Linked DNA regions of Tribolium castaneum. The protein of the gene in region 1 binds, or shares a complex with, the protein of each later gene. Links are inferred from orthologs where the notes say so. Each region holds a gene or a part of one and is shown in the gene's direction. Other genes may lie near its edges.

What was found.
Region 2: nito (region 1) and fl(2)d-associated complex component share a complex: the UniProt entries of both Drosophila melanogaster proteins name them as parts of the WMM complex. The link is inferred for Tribolium castaneum from reciprocal best matches to the Drosophila melanogaster genes nito and Flacc.
Region 3: nito (region 1) and vir share a complex: the UniProt entries of both Drosophila melanogaster proteins name them as parts of the WMM complex. The link is inferred for Tribolium castaneum from reciprocal best matches to the Drosophila melanogaster genes nito and vir.
Region 4: nito (region 1) and Mettl14 share a complex: the UniProt entries of both Drosophila melanogaster proteins name them as parts of the WMM complex. The link is inferred for Tribolium castaneum from reciprocal best matches to the Drosophila melanogaster genes nito and Mettl14.

Annotation. Positions count from the first base shown.
Region 1 is NC_087396.1:24,539,875-24,545,178, forward strand, and holds nito (RNA-binding protein spenito), read left to right. Parts: upstream 1-1,765; 5' UTR 1,766-1,920; intron 1,921-1,971; 5' UTR 1,972-1,983; coding exon 1,984-4,116; coding exon of another isoform or gene 4,117-4,137; exon of another isoform or gene 4,138-4,287; coding exon 4,288-4,314; 3' UTR 4,315-4,723; downstream 4,724-5,304. Other genes in the region: uncharacterized protein LOC663498, read right to left, coding at 370-388, 440-478. UniProt on the Drosophila melanogaster protein: RNA-binding protein that acts as an associated component of the WMM complex, a complex that mediates N6-methyladenosine (m6A) methylation of mRNAs. M6a modification plays a role in the efficiency of mRNA splicing and is required for sex determination.
Region 2 is NC_087398.1:11,171,657-11,177,048, reverse strand, and holds the start of fl(2)d-associated complex component, read left to right. Parts: upstream 1-1,701; 5' UTR 1,702-1,964; coding exon 1,965-3,145; intron 3,146-5,392. Other genes in the region: Xxylt (xyloside xylosyltransferase 1), read right to left, coding at 20-497, 595-736, 785-1,220. UniProt on the Drosophila melanogaster protein: Associated component of the WMM complex, a complex that mediates N6-methyladenosine (m6A) methylation of mRNAs, a modification that plays a role in the efficiency of mRNA splicing and is required for sex determination.
Region 3 is NC_087394.1:22,068,576-22,072,437, forward strand, and holds the end of vir (protein virilizer), read left to right. Parts: intron 1-1,767; coding exon 1,768-2,173; intron 2,174-2,222; coding exon 2,223-2,484; intron 2,485-2,532; coding exon 2,533-2,575; 3' UTR 2,576-2,633; downstream 2,634-3,862. Other genes in the region: active regulator of SIRT1, read right to left, coding at 2,985-3,104, 3,158-3,315, 3,373-3,465, 3,514-3,580. UniProt on the Drosophila melanogaster protein: Associated component of the WMM complex, a complex that mediates N6-methyladenosine (m6A) methylation of mRNAs, a modification that plays a role in the efficiency of mRNA splicing and is required for sex determination.
Region 4 is NC_087399.1:166,059-171,038, reverse strand, and holds Mettl14 (N6-adenosine-methyltransferase non-catalytic subunit), read left to right. Parts: upstream 1-1,492; 5' UTR 1,493-1,621; coding exon 1,622-1,687; intron 1,688-1,737; coding exon 1,738-2,336; intron 2,337-2,388; coding exon 2,389-2,896; 3' UTR 2,897-3,170; downstream 3,171-4,980. Other genes in the region: BicC (protein bicaudal C), read right to left, coding at 1-139, 187-417, 472-878, 926-1,148; phosphatidylinositol 3,4,5-trisphosphate 3-phosphatase and dual-specificity protein phosphatase PTEN, read right to left, coding at 4,239-4,425, 4,475-4,595. UniProt on the Drosophila melanogaster protein: Non-catalytic component of the WMM complex, a complex that mediates N6-methyladenosine (m6A) methylation of mRNAs, a modification that plays a role in the efficiency of mRNA splicing and is required for sex determination.

The DNA of each region.
Region 1 (5,304 bases):
AAACCAATAAACACCTTATTAATAGCCACTTCACGCCAAATTTAAATGATTGAAATTTCTACTGATCATTGTTCTTTTATGACATGTGCAACTGAAATTAATTCAATTTAAAGCATACTGTCCTTTGGTATTTATGGGTAATAAAAAAAATTAAATTACCAAAACTTAGGCCCAAAGACTCCATTTCAGACTTTTAGAAAAGATATCAGGTACAGATACTGTGTCTGAAGATAGCTATTTCAAATATTTTTTGTAATTTATTTGAGATGAAAGACTTTTGCTTTATTTAACAACACGTAGTATCATCACATGGAACGCTTTACTCCTACGCTGATTGTTGAAGCAATAAGTACTAAAGATAATACTCACCATGCTGTTGGACGTTTAACTGTGATTTAAAATGAGTGTAGAAATTACAATTAATTTATGTATATCTTACCAGTGTTATGATCAAAACGAGTAAACTTTTCCCCTTCATTTTAACTCTCTCACAATCAAATGCCGCAAAAATCAAATACGAAATAATTAAAAAACAATAATTGCACAGTTTTATAGCTCTAGCGTAAGACGCTTTTAAAAACAATTTCATGCTTGATATTTTTAATGAAATTTTATTGCAGTTTCATTTTCTTGTTCATCAAATCTTCTTTTACACACATCTAAATGCAATAAACGGGTGTGTAAATGGCAAATATGACATGACGCATTAATTTTTATATTTAATGCTTGATTCAGCAATTGAAACATTTTATACAAAATATAAATAATTTCAGACAATCGCATTTATGGTTTGTATGAAATTTCTGTTTATAATTTTATTTGTTTGAACAGGTTTTATTAAAAATTAGCCACTTTTTTTCTTTCTGTGGTAATTAGATTTAGGTGCACTAGTTTTTCAGTAAATATCCGTGCACAAATAGGAAATTAACTTGAAAATTACTTGTTGTTCTTGACCAAATAAACCAAATAATTGAACGGCTTACAGGTATTTGATTTATTGCAAAAGTCGAGTCAAAATGCAAAATTTATTATGGATAACACCTTACTGCGGTAAAATAAAATGCTTAAGTAGGAATTACTTCAAGCGCTGAAAAAGTCAGTCTTATTTATCTGTATTTTTATAAATGTGGGATTTTTACCGACAAGTCAAATATCGTAAATTTTAATTAATCATCACTCTGATGCAGCTATTTTTTTTTGAAGAATGTTACAATTCCTCCAAATTTATTCATTAGAAAATAATCCTAATTAAACAACGAATTTTTTGTCAATATTTTAATTGAATTTAATCCGTATTTATATAATCATTCAGATTTGGATACTTTTAGTAGTCACGGAACAAGAATACTTGAAATAAGTTTGGGGTGTGAATAAAATTTGACTGCACTAAGTTAAATTAAAATTTATTTGTCTTGACGAATGCTGGTCTCATTAGGTTGCATAAAATTATACATTAATGAGAAAATAGTTTTTGTTTTAGTTATGTCTGTATGTTTTTTTAAATAATAATATAATTTATTCGGAACAATTTATTAGGCCAGGAAGAGTTATGTCTGAGTTCTCAATAATTTAAATTTTGCAATGTAGATAACCAATAATACAGCCTTGCATTTGGCATCTGTCCGACACTCTCAAATAATAATGTATAAAATTATAAAACTTAGATTTTCTACCAGAAACGTAGATTTAGTAGTAAGTACTATTGTAACTAGCAATTCGTTTAAATTGAAACTTGGCCACATTGAATAAACCGTTTCAACTTGACCGGACTTCGCCAATTCCATCCCACGCCTGCGTACCACCACTTTGCCTTGTCACATCCGCCATATTGTCCACCATTCGCTTCCATTTCTGTGATGCCCCAACGCAGCACTCATCCACCTCAGTAAATGGTGATAAAACTCATTATTGTGCCCCTAAGTAAGCCCCCACACCCACACACACACACCCCGCTGTAAGTTTCCATTGCAGGCGTTAGTGTTTATGCTCGCCTCCAGCCGAGACAAAATAACAGTCCGCATCCAAAACATGAAACGCAGCAGCGACCGCGACACGCCCCCACGCAGCAAACGCTCCCGTTCAAGCATGGGCCGGTACGACGACAGCTCCGACGAACGCCTAACCCCCGAACGCGTCCGCCGTCGTGGAAGCCGCAATCGCTCGCCCAGCCCCCGCCCCAGGTATGTCAGCCCGCATCGCGATGAATATCTGCGCCCCCCTGAACGCGCCTACCCTTACAAAGTGCTCTGCGTCAGCGCCCTACACCCCAAAGCCAGCGATGAAGTGATCAAAGACACGCTCTATCGAGAGTACAAAAAATACGGCGATCTGAGCATTAGACTATCGCATGATGTTGATGAACGCGTAGCTTATGTGTGCTTCCGGAATCCGGAGGATGCACGTGATGCCAAACACGGGAAACCCCGGATTATTATTTATGATAAAGTTGCGATTGTTGAACCTGTGTATGAAGTGCCCAGGTCAAGTGATATTTATAGGAGTCGCCCCAGGTCTATTACACCAGAGTATGATCGGCATTATTATGCTAGGTCACCTGAACGGTTAAGGGTTGATCGGTACGATAGGGCTTACGGGCCCCCGCCAGGGGTCCCAGTACATAGAGATTATCGCAGGGAGGCTTTACCTGCTCCTCATGAGTATTTGGCAAGGCCTCCGATTCATCACCCGGCACATTTAACCCCAAGTCATGGATACGGCCCCCCACGACATACGGTCCCAAGGCCCCCCTTTGAAAAAACAGAGAATAAAAAAGACAAGTTTCCGAATTATTTGCACCACATTCAACCAGAAGATGACCCGTTAGCGACTCGTACGTTATTTGCCGGTAATTTAGAAATTAATATCACAGAAGAAGAGTTGCGTCGCATTTTCGGTCGTTACGGTGTTGTTGAAGATATAGATATCAAGAGACCACCACCTGGCACAGGCAATGCCTTTGCTTTCGTTCGGTTTCACACCCTTGATATGGCCCACCGTGCTAAAGTCGAATTATCAGGTCAATACATCGGAAAGTTCCAGTGTAAAATTGGTTACGGGAAAGCAACCCCAACTACACGTATCTGGGTTGGGGGGCTTGGCCCTTGGACTTCAGTCCCCCAACTAGAACGTGAGTTTGATCGTTTTGGGGCTATCAAGAAAATCGATTACGTCAAGGGCGACAATCAAGCCTATATTCTGTACGACAGTATCGATGCAGCACAAGCGGCTGTGAAGGAAATGAGAGGAGCCCCACTTGGGGGGCCTGACCGTCGCCTCAGGACTGACTTTGCGGACGTGACACCGGGAGTCGTCTACCGACCTAAACCCCCCTATCCTGGACATGAAGACAGTCTCGATTACCGCCGCCTTGACTACGATTACGACTACGACGACTACGCCACCCGGGGGTACAGGGGTCGTGCTGCCTACCCCGAACGCCGCGCCGGCAGCCGGGGCCCTTACCGCTACCCCGAGACAACTGAAGATGAATGGGGGCGCTCACGCCCCGAATACGAACGCCGCCGTTCCGTTGACCGCTCCAGGTCCAGGTCACCGAGACGTTCCCCTGATTCGGATTCGGATAATGGGTCTCGTAGAGCTGGGTTGCTCGCATCTAGTCGGACTCTCCCCGAAGTGGCACGGAAGTGTACGACAGTGTGGCAAGGTGCTTTGATTTTGAAGAATTCGCTGTTTCCGGCCAAGTTTCATTTGATTGATGGCGATACGGATATTGTGGAAGGGTTGATGAAGGACGAGGATGGAAAACATCAGCTGAGGATTACGCAAAGGTTGAGGTTGGATCAGCCAAAGTTGGAGGATGTGCAAAGGAGAATTTCGGGGGCGAGTTCGCATGCGATTTTCTTGGGGTTGGCGGGGTCGACGGCGTCGGTCACGAATGATGATAGTACGGTGCAGACGAGGCCGTTGAGGAATTTGGTGTCGTATTTGAAGCAGAAGGAAGCAGCTGGGGTTATTTCGTTGTTGAATAAGGAGACGGAAGCGACAGGGGTTTTGTATTCGTTTCCGCCGTGTGCGTTTTCGACAGAGTTGCTTAAACGTACGTGTCCGAATCTGTCGGAGGAGGCGATCAAGGAGGATCATTTGGTTATTGTTGTGGTACGTGGTGGTACTGCTTAATTTTTATGACTGTATAGTCGTTGACTATACTGTATTATTATTTTGTTTTTTTTTACTTATTTTATGAGGTAGAGCTCATTTTTTTTACCCCCCTCCAGGTCTACACTGGCTAATTTTGTTGACAGTTTAAACAAATTGTACATTTTTCAGGAAATTGGTGATCAACAACGATGTTGATTGTGTTGATGATGATGATGATGCTTTATCATTTAAGTGCTTACTGAATTTGTTTTGTGAACTTTGAAAATATTCTGTAACTTGATTTAGTGCTGAAGTGAATTTAGTTTAAGTGGTTGCAGTTCTTTCTCATAGTATCTGTCATTTGTATTAGTGGAACATTCTGTAAGGATTTATCTGTTGTTATGTGAAAGGACTGTAAAAGGAAACAATTAACTACAGTGTTGTAGTGTTCTGTGCAAATAGTTACTCTTTATAAAGATTGTTTCAAAATAAAACCAAGTTAATGATTGTGATGTAGTGTTAAGACACTTATCAGTGGCTAGGAAGTATGGTCTTCTATAATCATTTCTCCTGTCTGGTTATAAAATGTTCAATAGTGTTGTGCAAATAGATAAGTTCTTTCAGACGATTGTGTTGTTCTGTTCTTCAAATATTCCTTGTGAGTGTGAATGTGCACAAAGTCCAAATTTCGCGCGGAGTTTTCTTTTCGTAGTAGTGGAAAAACGTAATTTAATGGCTGTGATTTTCTCTAATTGGATTTCTCTCATTTTATTTGGAATTAAACGAGTTCAGTGATTCGAATTTAGTGAGCAAAATTTTTCGTGTTGTTGAACATTGTGAGAACACTAAATTTTTGTGAATAGTGTTTTCAACATATTTTTAAACTTGTACACAGTCATATTCGTTAATAAAAACTCTAAGTTGGATAAATCATTCTACCTTCAGCAAATAGCCAATTGGTAAGTTCCTCCAGCTTTACTAAGTAATTTAGCAACCCATAAGCGGGACTCATAATTTCAGTAAAAGAAGTTTTTTTTTAATTTAAACTAACTTATAAAGTAACAGTTTACAATTTTAAGTACCTAGAACAGTCTACACCATATTGAGGGTAGTATTTGTAGTCAGGGTAAGTATTTCTTTAATGTTAAAAGATTAAATTGATTTTTCAATAGATATTTTGTATGCACTTCAATTAATAAAATGATG
Region 2 (5,392 bases), on another chromosome or scaffold:
TAGATGACCAGTCTTTAATTTATTTTGGAATTTTCGTGTTGCAATTTCCATGTAAAATAACAGCGGGGTGTTGACACTTGAAATAAAAATCAAAAACATCACGGTAGCCATGCTCTCGCCACCAGACGCACAATTGGCGATTGAAACCACAATTTATGGTTTGAATCAAATCAGGATATTCAAACCCTATCAAAGTATAAAAATCCTGGTCACCCAAATGACCTCGAAATTTGTATTTGGACGTGAGATATTGCACAGTTTCATTCCTGATAATTTGGGAATATTCCTTTGATTTTCTTATTGCACTTAAATTAATCAAAACAACACCGGAATTATAGCCCTGGAAGCCACGAGGATGCTGCATATTGCTCGATATCGCCTTGGAATGATAATATTCTCCGAATGTTGAGTTCTTTTTCACTTTATAGGTTTGGAGGACGTGACGGTAGACTGGAGTCAGCTCGGGGGCCAAACCAAAAAGCGCAGTTGGCTTAAACCTATCAAACAGTTGAATTAAATTCCGATCAAAGTGATCTATGACTTCATGTCAGTCACAGGTCACTTTGACCAGAATAAGAAATTTCATAAACTCACTTGTCAAACTCCTCAAACACTAATCGAATATCCTTCTTAAAGTATAAATCACAGTCTAGTAGAAGGGCAGTTCGCTGGGAAGGTGGGGCTATCCGATACAGCCCCAAAGAAATATAGAAAAGTGCGTCGCTGTAGTAAGTACCTGAAGTCAAAACTAGTAATAGTGCAATTAAAAAGTAAGCCTTTTTACCCGGTTTTGAACTAAAATGAGGGGTCATAACGTCGACAATATCACTAATCGCTCTTGCACACGCTTCAACATCATAAAATTTATAAAATATTGCTTTATTCGAATGCGACACCACATCTGATATTTCACCTACTGCTAATTGCTTTGAGCTATTATCAACAATAATATGGAACTTTAAAGGAACAGAACTTATGTTTAAAATATTCTCCAACAAGTTGTGGAATTTATATCTTAACGGCGACCTTTGAGAGACTTTAGTAAATATCAACCAGACATTGTATTCTTTAGGCTTTTTGAATGGCAACAAAAATGTTGCATCGTTAGCAGAACCATCGGAATTGTAATGAAAAAACGTAAAATAAACAACTAATAACGCAGCAATTAAAATTCCAAGTTTTAACAAAAATCGTAGTTTAGGTTTTTTGGGGGCGTACATCGTTAATCATTTCTCTGTTTGTCGCAGGAATTGAACATTTTTTAAGTGTTACATTTCTATTTTTCCTTTACACAATAACACAACACAAACAACTGTCAACATAACCTCTCTTTTTGTTTGAAGACCACATTACGAATTTTGATTAATTTAATTAAATGTGCCTTTATCACTGATTGAACTAAAAATGCGAAAGCTGCTTAATGGAAAATTGGTCTTTAAACAGTGCTTTTAATATTTTTGCTCCTGTTGAAATGTTGGCCGCGACGCTACTGACTTTTTGTCAATAAATAAAAACAATTTGAAACAGACCAAAACTACGAAATTAATATCTAAATCATTCGCAAGTGGGGCATAATCAAAAATATATCATAATAAAGTGTACATTATCGACAGATTTTGAGTTTTAAAATTTTTGTTCCCGTAAAATTTCAGGTTGAGACCGCCACTGGTGTTGTCTGTTAAATGTCAAAAAACTATCACCTGTCAAGTGGCTACATTTTTGCAAAACAAATCGTTCCAGTTTTTTGGGAATTGGCTAAAATCTCGTTTGATTGATCAAAAAAGTGTCCATCGGGCGTTTGCAAGTCGAAATTGTGTTTTTTGGGCGCCATCTGTGCGGCATGATGTAAGGAGGCCCCTAGCCGATAAGCCCACAGTCTCCCATGCCGGCAACGTCAAACGTAAATATGGTAGCGTCAAGTGCTTCGCAATTTTTCCTCCTCACCTCGCGAACTCTGAGTGAAAATGTCTAAACAGGTCAAGCGCAAAATAACCGTGAACCTAACTCCGAAAAGCAAAGAAGTCTCGAAGCCTCGCCCCAGCGTGTTCGAGCGTCTGGGCACCAAAGCCAGCACCAGCCAGGACTTTTGCCACCACTGGGCCCAGAGCGGCACCTGCCCCTACGGAAAAGGCTGCAAGTACTCCTCCACCCACACCCTGATCAGCCCCTCGAAACGGGCGGCCAAGACCCAGCGCAAGGACAATGCAAATAAACGGGTCCATCCCGGAAACCCAGACGAGGATTGGGACCACTGGGACCCGGAGGAACTAGCCGACGCCGACCCTGATGATCTAGAAAAGCGCCGGCAAGAACTGCAAAGAGAACTCGAACTACAAATGAAAATGGAGAACAAAGCCCGGAAAAAGGACAAGAAAACCAAGAAGGAGAGCAGCCCCTCGACCGAAAGCTCGTCATCATCCTCGGACTCGTCCTCCTCAAGTGACGACTCCACCTCCAGCAGCTCCTCGTCCATAGAAACGCGTCGGAAGAAGAGTAAAAAAACCAAAACCAAACGCGACTCCTCCTCATCCTCATCGGAGCGCCCCCCGAAAAAGAAACCAAAAACGAAACGAACATCCTCAAAATCGTCACAACGCACCGACAAAACTAAAAAAACAACTAAAACAGCCCCAAAAGCCAAGTCTCCAACACCGCAACGCAGTCGGAAACAGTCGCAAACACCGCCCCCCAAAATCAAGCCGGGGCTCCCCCCAGCAAAGTCCCCAAGGCCCACGAGTCGGTCAAGCGACCGTAAGGAGAAACACCACACGCCCTCTCCCAAACCTAAAGAAAAGGAGAAGGAGAAAGAAAAAGAGAAAGAACGGGAAAAGGAGAAGGAACGGGAGAGGGAAAAGGAAAGAGAGCGGGAGCGGGAGAAGGAACGCGAACGCGAAAAGGAGAAGGAAAGGAACAAGAAAGATAGGGAGAAGGATGACCATAAAAAGAAAGAGTCAAGGTCGCCGAAACGGGACAGCAGGTCGACGAAAGACACTAAGAAGAGGGATACTCCAGATTCGTCGCATTCAAGGGATAAGAAGGGCTCACCAAGTCGGTCTAAAGGTAGCACGGGGAGCAGTCGAAGGGATCACAAGGGGACGCCGCCCAAGGAGGAGAGAAGTCGGGATAAAAAGGACGATAAGGATAGGTAAGAAACGAACTGTTTTTTAAACAATAAATCATAAAAGCGTAAGTTTTTTTAAAATTTTGTTAGAACTGTCTTCATTGAAGATACGCTTTTAGCAGATTCCCCCTTGCATTGCACTGTATATTGTATATGCGAGAAAGAAGTTCAAAGCAATGTTAGTTATGTATTATGTTTCTTTTAAATAGCACTTTCTATTTTTTGTTTATCACTGCTTTCGTATTCATCAAAAGACGAAAATCTTTCATTTAATGTTTCATTTTCACTTTATTTTCTTCAACTTTTACATATTATTATTTTTATTTTTAGAAATTCTAGCTTTGATTTAATGTTTCCAAAAATCTCACATTTAAATGTTTCTTTTGACCTTCCTGTGGAGTGTAATCTCAAATTCAAAGTTTCCTCTATCTTGAACTGCTCAGAGATTTTACACGTACAGAGTGTCTCAAAATTGGCGAATCCATAGTTCAGAGCATTGTAGAGAATCACTTCAGAAGTCTAAATTTAGAAGAAGAAAAAAAATATTCGGGGCTTTCCCACAAAGATGGGTTTGAAGATCACTCTTTAAATTGCGTTTTTTTTTTAAATGCAGGCTAAAAGTTTTAGTGTTGGTATTTATGGTACCTATGATTGTGGAAAATAATAAAATAAAACAATTTCCCAAAAGTTAGCTTTATTTTGGAGTAAATAAATCTAGAATGCTTCAATTTGATACTGCCAAATTTATTGAACCCTTACCTAAATCATTGTCTACTGAACTATCCACCTTTTCAGTTTTTTTTGAAATTCTAACAATTTTGAAGATGTTTTCACCTTTTAAATACATACTTGTTTGGCTAACATAATTTTTGATTTTATCTAAAAGTTTTGATGGATGGTATCACTGTTAACTTAAGTTTTTTTTAGTGTTGTTATAACTAGCTTAAAAATTGTGAAGTACATTTCCAATTAATAAGTTAAATGAAGCCGTTTCAGAATTTTATAGGTATACTTAGGTTTCACAGTTAGCTTAACTTTGCAATCATTAACTATTATTTATATTAACTAAATACTATGCTACTATTAATAATAAAAACAATTATGAAGTTCTTTACAATTAAAAAAAAACACAGAAAAAAACGTAAGCAAAAAAAAGTAAAAAATGAAGCTCTTGGGATTGGAAATAAAAATTAAAGAACAAAGGTCATAAACCTGACAGAATGCTCTGTGATTGGTAATCAGCATTTACGTTTTATGCAAAAAAATCTTTGTTTTCTAAAACATTTCTTTCATTAATATCTTCTTTCAATGTATTTTTTGTAATTTTAAATCTTTGAAAAAACTTTAAATTGTTAAGGCAGTATTTTTTCTAATTTTTTTCCAATTTTCTTATTCTGGTTTTTTACGAACAACGTGTTTTACTCAGTTTTGTTCGTTGATGTACCTAAGATATTTTTGAATTTTTTTCCATAATTAATGAGTACTGGCACAATAAAATTTTAGTGAAGTGTTATTTCACTTATTTCTTCGCAAAGTTTCACCTTCCTCACATATCAACTCGATCGGATTAAAGTTGCAATGATTGGGGAAAAAAAAACTTTCTTAAAAAAATGGAAATTTTTGAATTTCTTCTTTTTGGAAAATTTATTCGATGTTATTTCGTTTTTGCCGAATGGTGATTTGCAGTGTCCATTACAATTACATTATTTGTTGGAAGAATGGGGAGTAATTTTTCTAAAAACCATTTCAAAGTGTAACATATTTTTTTGGTAATCCACGTTTGCTTTATTTAGCAGAAATTTTATTTTAAAATTTTATTATAAAATAAAAAATAAACAACAACTACAATAACAGTAAATAATAATAAAACAATAACTGTTATTATTCCTTTAGTATTTCTACTCCTTTGCATGTGATTAATTTTTTGCTACACAGTGTCGAACTTTATGATAGTAATTTTTTTCTTAAACTTAATTTTTACGTCTATTTAACTTGAGTGATATTTTATCTGGTAACACAAACTTTTCTTCACAATTTATTGTCGCTGAAACAATTTTTAAATGATAAATATGAGTATTATATTTATCACCTACCTTTGAAATTACATACTTTTTAACAATTGATTCTGACTATTTGAAAAATGATGGGTAGACGTGAGAGAAATTATATAATACCGAGTAATCATTTTAGAATTTATCAAGAAGCATGGAACTCACCCAATGATAAATAACTCACAATCAAAAATGACAAAGCTTAGACAATTTCTTAGGT
Region 3 (3,862 bases), on another chromosome or scaffold:
CCCTTATTCCAGCGCTAAATCTTTCATGCTCGATCTTGCTCTTGAATAAATGCTAAAATCTTCTCAAAAAACTCGTTTTTATGGGATTACATAATGGAACTGATGAACTGTAAGTAAATTTTCATCCAATATATTTTTTATGCGTTTGAAATTTTAACTTAACTACTAAGAAACACGCAAGTTTTTGTATAATTTTTGAATTTTTAATTTATTTTTATTTTTTTCCAATATTTAACATTTATAACAAATTTGTAGTTGTTTTATAAATAATTGGATAAATTTTTATAGGACTAACGTCCAATAACTGCATTTGGAACTATTTATAGGCTGTTTTGTCACTAAGCTATTTGCTCGGGGATTATTTTATAGTAGGCTATTTTGTCCTGTAAAATTACATTTTAAGATTGTAAATTTTTATTAAATCTTAAACTTAGATTCTTTTTTAAATTTTTAGTTGTTTCTTTGATTTGTACACGAATAGCCATTGGAATTTTGTAAAAAATTAACATTCTTACCTAATTGCACATTTAATCAAAGTTCATATAAAAAAACAATTTTGAAAAATTTCACTCACCGACAAGCAGATGGATAAAAATTTATTGTGAATGCTTTAACTTTGCAGAATAGGATACATAATTGTTAAAAGTAAATAAACATCTTAATTTACAGTCAGACAAGTTTTTTAAACTCAGTAATACTAAAAAAATATGAGTATTAAATATTTCATAAAAGTTTATTGAATGTAGTTTAATCAAAAAAATTTGCACTTTGAAACTACAAATGGATCCCTTTTATTATGTACAGTCACAATCAAAAAGAATGACACGCCTATTAACCGGACCGGATAGTAAAAGCCTGACTAAAGGTCCTATTCTTGACCATATGGAAAGGTGAGATGTGTACATTTCATATGCATCTCATCTCACATCACACCATTCTAGGTCAAGACTAGCATCTTTTAGGTCAAAATTTCAACAAACTGGCTAGATTACAAACTCTACAGCTAGCTTACAAAATGTCGAAGTAGTTTATAAACTAGCAAAATGTATACATAAACTGTAACATATCAAAATGATTCGTTGCTGCAGTTTTAGGGGTGTCATTCCTTTTGTTCGTGACTGTACACAACAAAAATAAGAGGTTTAAATCAAAATCTTTAGATTAGTCAAAGATAAAGTTAGTACAAACACTTTATTAAAAACAATATAAAAAAGTATTATCTAACATTTACAACTTGACAGACGTAGCTTGAACCCTGAGATGAGCAGGCTTATACTGACTGTAAAAGAAAAAGTTAGACCGGGGTTAGGGGTGTTTACCCCCTGTACATCAACATTTCACATATTTATCAAAATGCTACAAATACGGTTAAAGATACAAAGTGTTAGAAGAATTAATTTTTTTATAAAAAAGTCCGCGACACCATATTATTTCTAGTATTTCTTCAAGGGTTTACGTATAAATTAATCTTTCGGTACGACACTATCGATAAAATGCAACGAAACCGTCGCTTGAGTGTCTTTAAACTATAAATTTCAAATAATTATTTTCTCGCGTTTATCGTGAAAATGACAGTAGTCAGTTTTTCTCACCTTTTTTTTTTCAAGTAATTAATGAAGTGGTAGAGTTTAAATTAATTTAACAATTTGGCGCCCTCATTTTTACTTTTGATATTGTATATTTTTTAAGGATAGAAAATGATACGATTTTGTATTTCGTTTCGTTTGTAGTAATAGTTCATGTGGTAATTAATATTTTGTGTTGAAGAAACTCAAAGATGAAGACATCACCTTCGAGAGCATGCTGGAAGGAGTAAGTGCTGTGGTTAAGTTCCTCCAATCGGATTCTCCTGACACTAAGGAGGCTTTAACGGAGCCGATCTTGCCCGAACCGGAAACTCTCCTCGTCCAGTTTTCCGGTCGGCTCATTTTCAACAATTCGGACGTTTGTGACGAAAGACTGACAATAAGATATTGGCTATCGATGGCGAATGACGAATCCGAAAACGAGAATGTATCATGTGACCTAGCCGAAATCGCCCGTCAGTATCTACCCCAAGACTTTAACATCGCTAAAGAAATCGAAAAACTGTGTCGAATCTGTCCCTCAGATAATAGCAACGAAAAGGAAAACCATGATAACGACCAGAAGACGAAAACGAAGAAACCTTTCAGTATTTTTTGAGATGATAGTTTAGGTTTTGGTTTAATGGTGTTTTTTAGTTACTCCGGTTAGGTCGCGTGGTTTCCCAAGAACTATTCAGCAGAGGTCGGATTTGTTCCGTTCAAGGCCGCCGAATACTTCAAGACCACCCTCGTTACATGTGGATGATTTTGTGGCTTTAGAGACATGTGGGGCACAGCCAACTGGGCCGACAGGGTATAATAAGTTCAGTAGGGAGCTTTTGGCATCGACTAGGATTGCGCGGGGCAGTAGAGGGAGAGCTTTCGTTACATCGGAGCGGTCAGTACATTGCAGACAAATGTAAGTTTTCTGTGTTCGAAACAATATGTAGATAGACTATTTTTTTAGGTCTTGGTGGGGTATGAGCCTCTCCCGGAGCCCCTATCAGTAATTAAGTGTACTGTTTTATGTATTTATTAATGTTCCAATACATTTGATTTCTGTGATTATTTGTTTTTTCATTTGAACGTATCCTCAATTTTTTTTTGGCACAGTCGGTAGGTATGTAAATTAGAAAATTAGTTACAATTTGTACTTTATTTATTTTCTGTTTGTCCACAAGAGTCTCCATTTTCCTTTCATCATTACAAAAACAGTAAAAACTGATAAACCACCACAAAAAATCAGGCCACAAATTCCACTCACTAACAGAATTGGTGTTTGTGAAAGCGAACTTAAAATATTGTCTTCATTAAGGGGCAAAATTGGTACAATTATTAACATAAAAAACATATAAAAAATACTTAAGACACTCAAACCTAGCATTGTTATACCATAAACCTTATTTGACACTGCCATTTTTACCCTGTGTATTCCTCTTCAAATTTCTTAAAATCTTCTTCAGTGAAGACAGTTGTTTGGGTCTTCTTGCGTTTTTTCTTTTCTTTCACAGGCCTTCGAGTGACCGCCCTTTGAATTATCTAAAGACAAAGTATATTTAAATAAACATTTCATATGGTAAGAAGGATTGCACCTTTTCTGTAGTTTCTTTATCAAGTTCAATAGTGCAAACATTTTTGATTTCTTTAAGCTTTTTCAAATTTTCCTTCAAAATCTCGTCCTTGCTCTTAAAAGTTTTCTTCGCTTCTAAAACTGTTAGTTTCTTTGAAGTTGACAAAACTCCTGTTTTTTCTAAAATTGAAAAAAAATACATGGTGTCAACAACACAGTTTTATCATGTGATTATACCTTTGCGTCCTTTTCTACTAATATTTTTCGTTATTTTTAGTTTATCGGGTATCAAGTTGAACACATCTTTTGTATTATTCTTCGACTTTTTAACTAAAATGTAAAGTAAAAAAAAATAAAACAAAAGATGCAAGGTTTTACCTTTAGCTTGTTTCCTAAAATCAGGATCTACAATTTCTAAAGCTTTCTGAACCAAGGCGGAAGACATTTCAATTAAAACAACTCAAATAACTCATTTCCTCAAATTTTTCTTGGAGAACTTTTTGTAGAGGTTATGTCGGTTCTGACAATCAGAATACGCGCTATCAGTGTGACGTAGACATTTGAGGTAGGTCAGCACCTTAAAGCTAAACAATCGCCATTTTCAATGCTTTTCTTATGGGCATTTAAAAGTTTTTCGTATTTCTTTAATGCTAGAAGTGTAGGAACATTACTTTTACAGAGAAATGATAGCTATGAAAAATGCAATGTCGTTTCTTAAAGATTTTAG
Region 4 (4,980 bases), on another chromosome or scaffold:
TTTGGTCCTGGGCATCAGGAAACATGATTTGGCATTTGGTGTAGTGCATGATTGCCTTTAGGTTTGAATGATTTTTGCCCAAAACGATTGCATGGTGTTGGGGCGAAATTTGGATAGTCATTTGAACCGGAATTTGGTTCTAAAAAAATTTCTAGAATTTTGTTGGAAAACACAACTTATAAGTACCGTCAAATTTTCGCACATGTATTCCATGAGCAAAATTGTAGCCTGCTTCACCTGCTCCACCTCCCATTCGACTCCCTTGACTAGTACTATAGTAGCATGAAGTTTGGACCTAGTTTTGAACATGACTTGCACTTTGTACTGTTCCTGGATTTTAATTACGTAAGGACACGTATTATCAATATTTTGGGCCATTATTGGAGGCTCAAACCCAAAAATCAGCGGAATTAATTCCTGAAATGATTGTACTAGTGGTAGGGTTGGATTCAAAATGTTTGATAACTATACCCTAACGCGACTCCTTGCATTTTCAACCCCTTCCAAATCGCCCGAAATCGAAACTTGATTGCTTTTTTCCATCGGATTCGAACGATTCGAATCAGGGAAATGTACGTGGCATTGAGTTTCTTCCATGACACGTTTAATACTCAGCCCTCCTCTGCCGATAATATGCGAATGGTCCGTGTAACTTATGTCCATTTTCATGGTTACACGATTGCATCTCGTGTACAAAACCGTCATAATCCTGTCTTTGGCGGCTTTAACATCCTCTTCTTTGCCGGCGATCCTCACGTGAGGATCCTTTTTCGATTTAGCCCCCAATTTGAGTTTGTTTGGCCACGTTATGTAAGTGTCAGTGTCTTCCATAATGTTCGCAAAAAAAACGTCAGCAGGGATCAGTGCATCGTTGTCCCCTTTTTTTACAAATAATTTCACAAATTACAAAAAAAACTTTACTTACCACTAAGCATCTGTTCCAACTTTTTGCGGTCGACCCGGAACCGGTCCTGGTACAAATCCGAAATGTCCTTTAATCCGTGTTTGGCAACAAAATCCCTTAATTCCTCTCTGGAGCCCCAATTTGAGTTGAAACCAGAAGTAGCCGTGCCGCTTTCCGACACTTCTGATTGTGTGTCGGAATTTTTTACCTCGATTCCACGAGGTGTAGCACAATTACAAGACATTTTTTTTTTAAATCACTACGTCCACAATTAATTAATGACTAACCCCATTTAATGGTCACTTTGTAAGGATTTTTACGCGTTTTTAAGGGCTGTGTAGGTGACACGCTTTTGGTAATTTGCGCGACTGAACTCTGATAAGGGCCAAAGAGAAGTTTTATCTCCTGCTTTTTCTCAGCATGTTTTTCTTCAATCTTATCTGAAGTACTCTGGTACAGGTAAGCGCCAAATTTTACTATTTGCCAACTTTTTCAGGTTTCTAAATAAAAGAAATAAAGTATTTCAACAAAACTTTATTTGTCCTTAAGTGTTACACAATTTATTTCTACCACAAATAATTCATCCCCCAATTTAAATCTACCGCCACGATATGTCAAGCGGTGGCGCTACTTGATTATCATCAATTTTCCGAATTTTGCCAAAAACTGCGGGGAAACTAAATAAAATGAGTTGATAAAACCCGTCTGCACTTGAAAATGGGTGAAGTTATGAAACACCTGCGTGAGAAATCACGGAAACGCAAGCAACTTCTGGCTCAAACTGTACGTATAGTAAAAATGTGGTTATGTATCACTGACAAATAATGTTTAAGCTTGGTGTTTCCAACCCCGAGGAGCTCCGCCAGGTCCTAGGAACCACAACCGAGGTCTCTAAGAGACGTCCCGATTCCACCAACAACGAAAACGAAAAATACGACTACAAGAAAGACACTCCAAATGAATTGGTCTATCGTGACTCTTCAACTTTTCTCAAAGGGACTCAATCGTCGAACCCCCATAATGACTACTGCCAACATTTTGTCGACACTGGTCAAAGACCCCAGAATTTCATCCGCGATGTCGGTCTAGCGGACCGGTTTGAGGAGTACCCCAAATTACGTGAATTAATCAAATTAAAAGACGAACTTATTGCACAAACTGCAAATCCCCCTATGTATCTCAAATGTGATTTAACGACTTATGATTTGAAAAACCTAAATTGTAAGTTTGATGTGATTTTAATTGAACCACCTTTGGAAGAATACCAGAGAACCATGGGGGCCACAAATATGCAGTTCTGGCCATGGGACCAAATCATGAATTTGGATGTGGGGGAAGTGGCAGCGCAACGAAGTTTCGTATTTTTGTGGTGTGGAAGTTCAGATGGACTTGACATGGGGCGCGTGTGTCTCAGAAAATGGGGCTTTCGCCGGTATTTTCCCCATTTTTAGACCAAAATTTTGTAATAATAAATCTAATTACAGATGCGAGGATATTTGTTGGATTCGCACAAACATAAAAAATCCAGGTCATTCGAAAAACCTTGACCCTAAAGCAGTGTTCCAAAGGACAAAGGAACACTGTCTTATGGGTATTAAAGGAACGGTTCGGCGGTCAACCGACGGGGATTTTATTCACGCCAACGTCGACATTGATTTGATCATTTCGGAAGAGAACGAATATGGAAGTTTGGAAAAACCGGTTGAAATTTTCCATATAATCGAACACTTCTGTTTGGGGCGTCGGCGCCTCCACATTTTCGGTAGAGACAGTACCATACGTCCAGGTTGGTTAACGATCGGTCCCGAGTTAACAAATTCGAATTTCAATGCCGATTTATACGCGAGTTATTTTACTAATAATAATATAACGACGGGATGTACGGAACGAATTGAAGCTTTGAGGCCGAAAAGTCCGCCTCCAAAGGGCAAAGGAAATTCCGGAGGACGAGGTCGGGGCAACTTTCAGCGAGGACGTGGCAGGGGACGTTGAAAAAACACTTTTTAAAGCTTTTATTTTTAATTTATGACACTACCATAGTCTCCAGCAGTGCGCTCAGATCTGATTTGAAAAAATTATGACACTACCAAATCATCTCCAGCAGTGTTCTCAGATCTAATAACTTAAAATATAATATTAATCTTGGATCACAATCACAATAAGCAATATCAATATAAAAACTATAATAACCATACAATTATGTATTTATATATAAAAATAGTGGTTTACTTTATTTTCGTTCAATAATAATGACGCAGTCACATAATTTTTGTTACTTTAACCTTATAATACAATTTTTATATTATAAAACTGGTTGGTACCATGTTAAAAAATATTTTTCTGAAGACCATACACTGGGTTCGAGATTGTTTTCAATTAAAATCAGTTAAAACATTAACAAAATTTGGCATCGTAAGTACAACTTGTTTCTATTGTTGAAACACAAAGAGAAAAATTAAAACATGTTCTAAGTTTAACTTATAAGAAGGTACTTCCTAATGTAAAAAAATACATTGAGAAAAAAACTATGCACTAAATAATTCGAGCATACAAATTATTGGTCTTAATAAAATAATTTAACAGCCTTTTCTAGGGAAGAGAGAAATTTTCGTTAAGTTATTACAATTATAAAATTAGGGAAAATTAGAACTGAAGCCTGAACAAGAAATCGTATACAGTTTTGGATCGTTAAATTATTCTTCATTCAGTCTTCATATTGTACTGGCAATTCGGTTCACAATTAGTTCATTTCTAAATTTCCCTACAAAAAAAACTAGGGAGAGGGTTAGGGGGAAAATGGCAAAAATCTTATAATAACCGGTAACCAAAGTACTAACATTGGCAAGATAAAATGAAATGAGATCAAAAAAGCATTTGTACTCTCATAATTAAAAAGTGTTTTGACTGATTTTAAACTTGGTTTAAAAAAAGCAAGCGGATGAATGAATGATCAAAAAAAAATAATGACACAATCCCTTCTCTACATGCAATATTTACAGTTTTGTACGATGCATGCCCTTTGAGCCTCCCATTCACAGGTACGTGGACTCCCCTAGAAATAAATTTAAGTAAGACTGATTTCCCAACATTGTACACACAACACAAATAAGCACAAGCACAATTTACACATAATTACCTGAAATCCGTATTTGTTCGGAGGCTTTTTATACGAAAAAAAAAATAATAATAAAAATCAGACCAACGAGAGAATTATTATATCTTTTTAATCATTGTCTCATTAACGGAAAATACATTCTTACAACTTGAGCTTACACAATACAGTTTATTAAATTCAAAAAACCAGAATCATCACTAAGCAAAAAATGTGATTGTCCTACGAAGAAAAAATTTTGAGGTAGACGTCGCTGTTCCCTAATAATCTATCTGACTGACACACCAATTTAATAAACTGTAATCCGGCTGCTTTTTGTACTCGATTTTGTGTTATTATTACTTGCGAATAGAAACGGTCTCGGATGCGAGCCTTGAGGGACGCCCAGGGTAGATAAACAAAAACGAATCTAGAAATACTGGTAAATGCACGATTAGACATGGAGTTACGCAGTCAACAATTCCGGTTGTTGGTCGCCGCTGCTTGATGTTGTTAGTTGCGAAGCTAACTCGCATTCTGATAATATTCTGTAGCCAACACCTCGAGGATCATCCATTAGGGTCTCGCCTTCATCCAGGACTGCATGAGATTAACCCCAAACATAGATTAGTAAAGACACATGCAGATGATTCGATCATAGAGAGAGAGAGAGAGAGAGAGAGTTAATACCAACACGAAATGAATGAAATGGATTGCGCAAGCGTTGTACTTGGATTTAAAATAAAAACAACAAAAACGAAAAAGTCTTTTCGAAAAAACCAAAACAGATCAAGGAAAATATATTCTTTTACAAAGCCAAATTTTTGTAGCTTACACAACACACTTTATACTCGTCAACTATACAACTACATCCTAATGAAATAAATACTTTTTTCTCTTTTTAACAGATAGAGACAATAATATTTTTTCTGTTCAAACAGCAACAATGACACTTTGAAATTTTAATAATTATTACAAATAACAT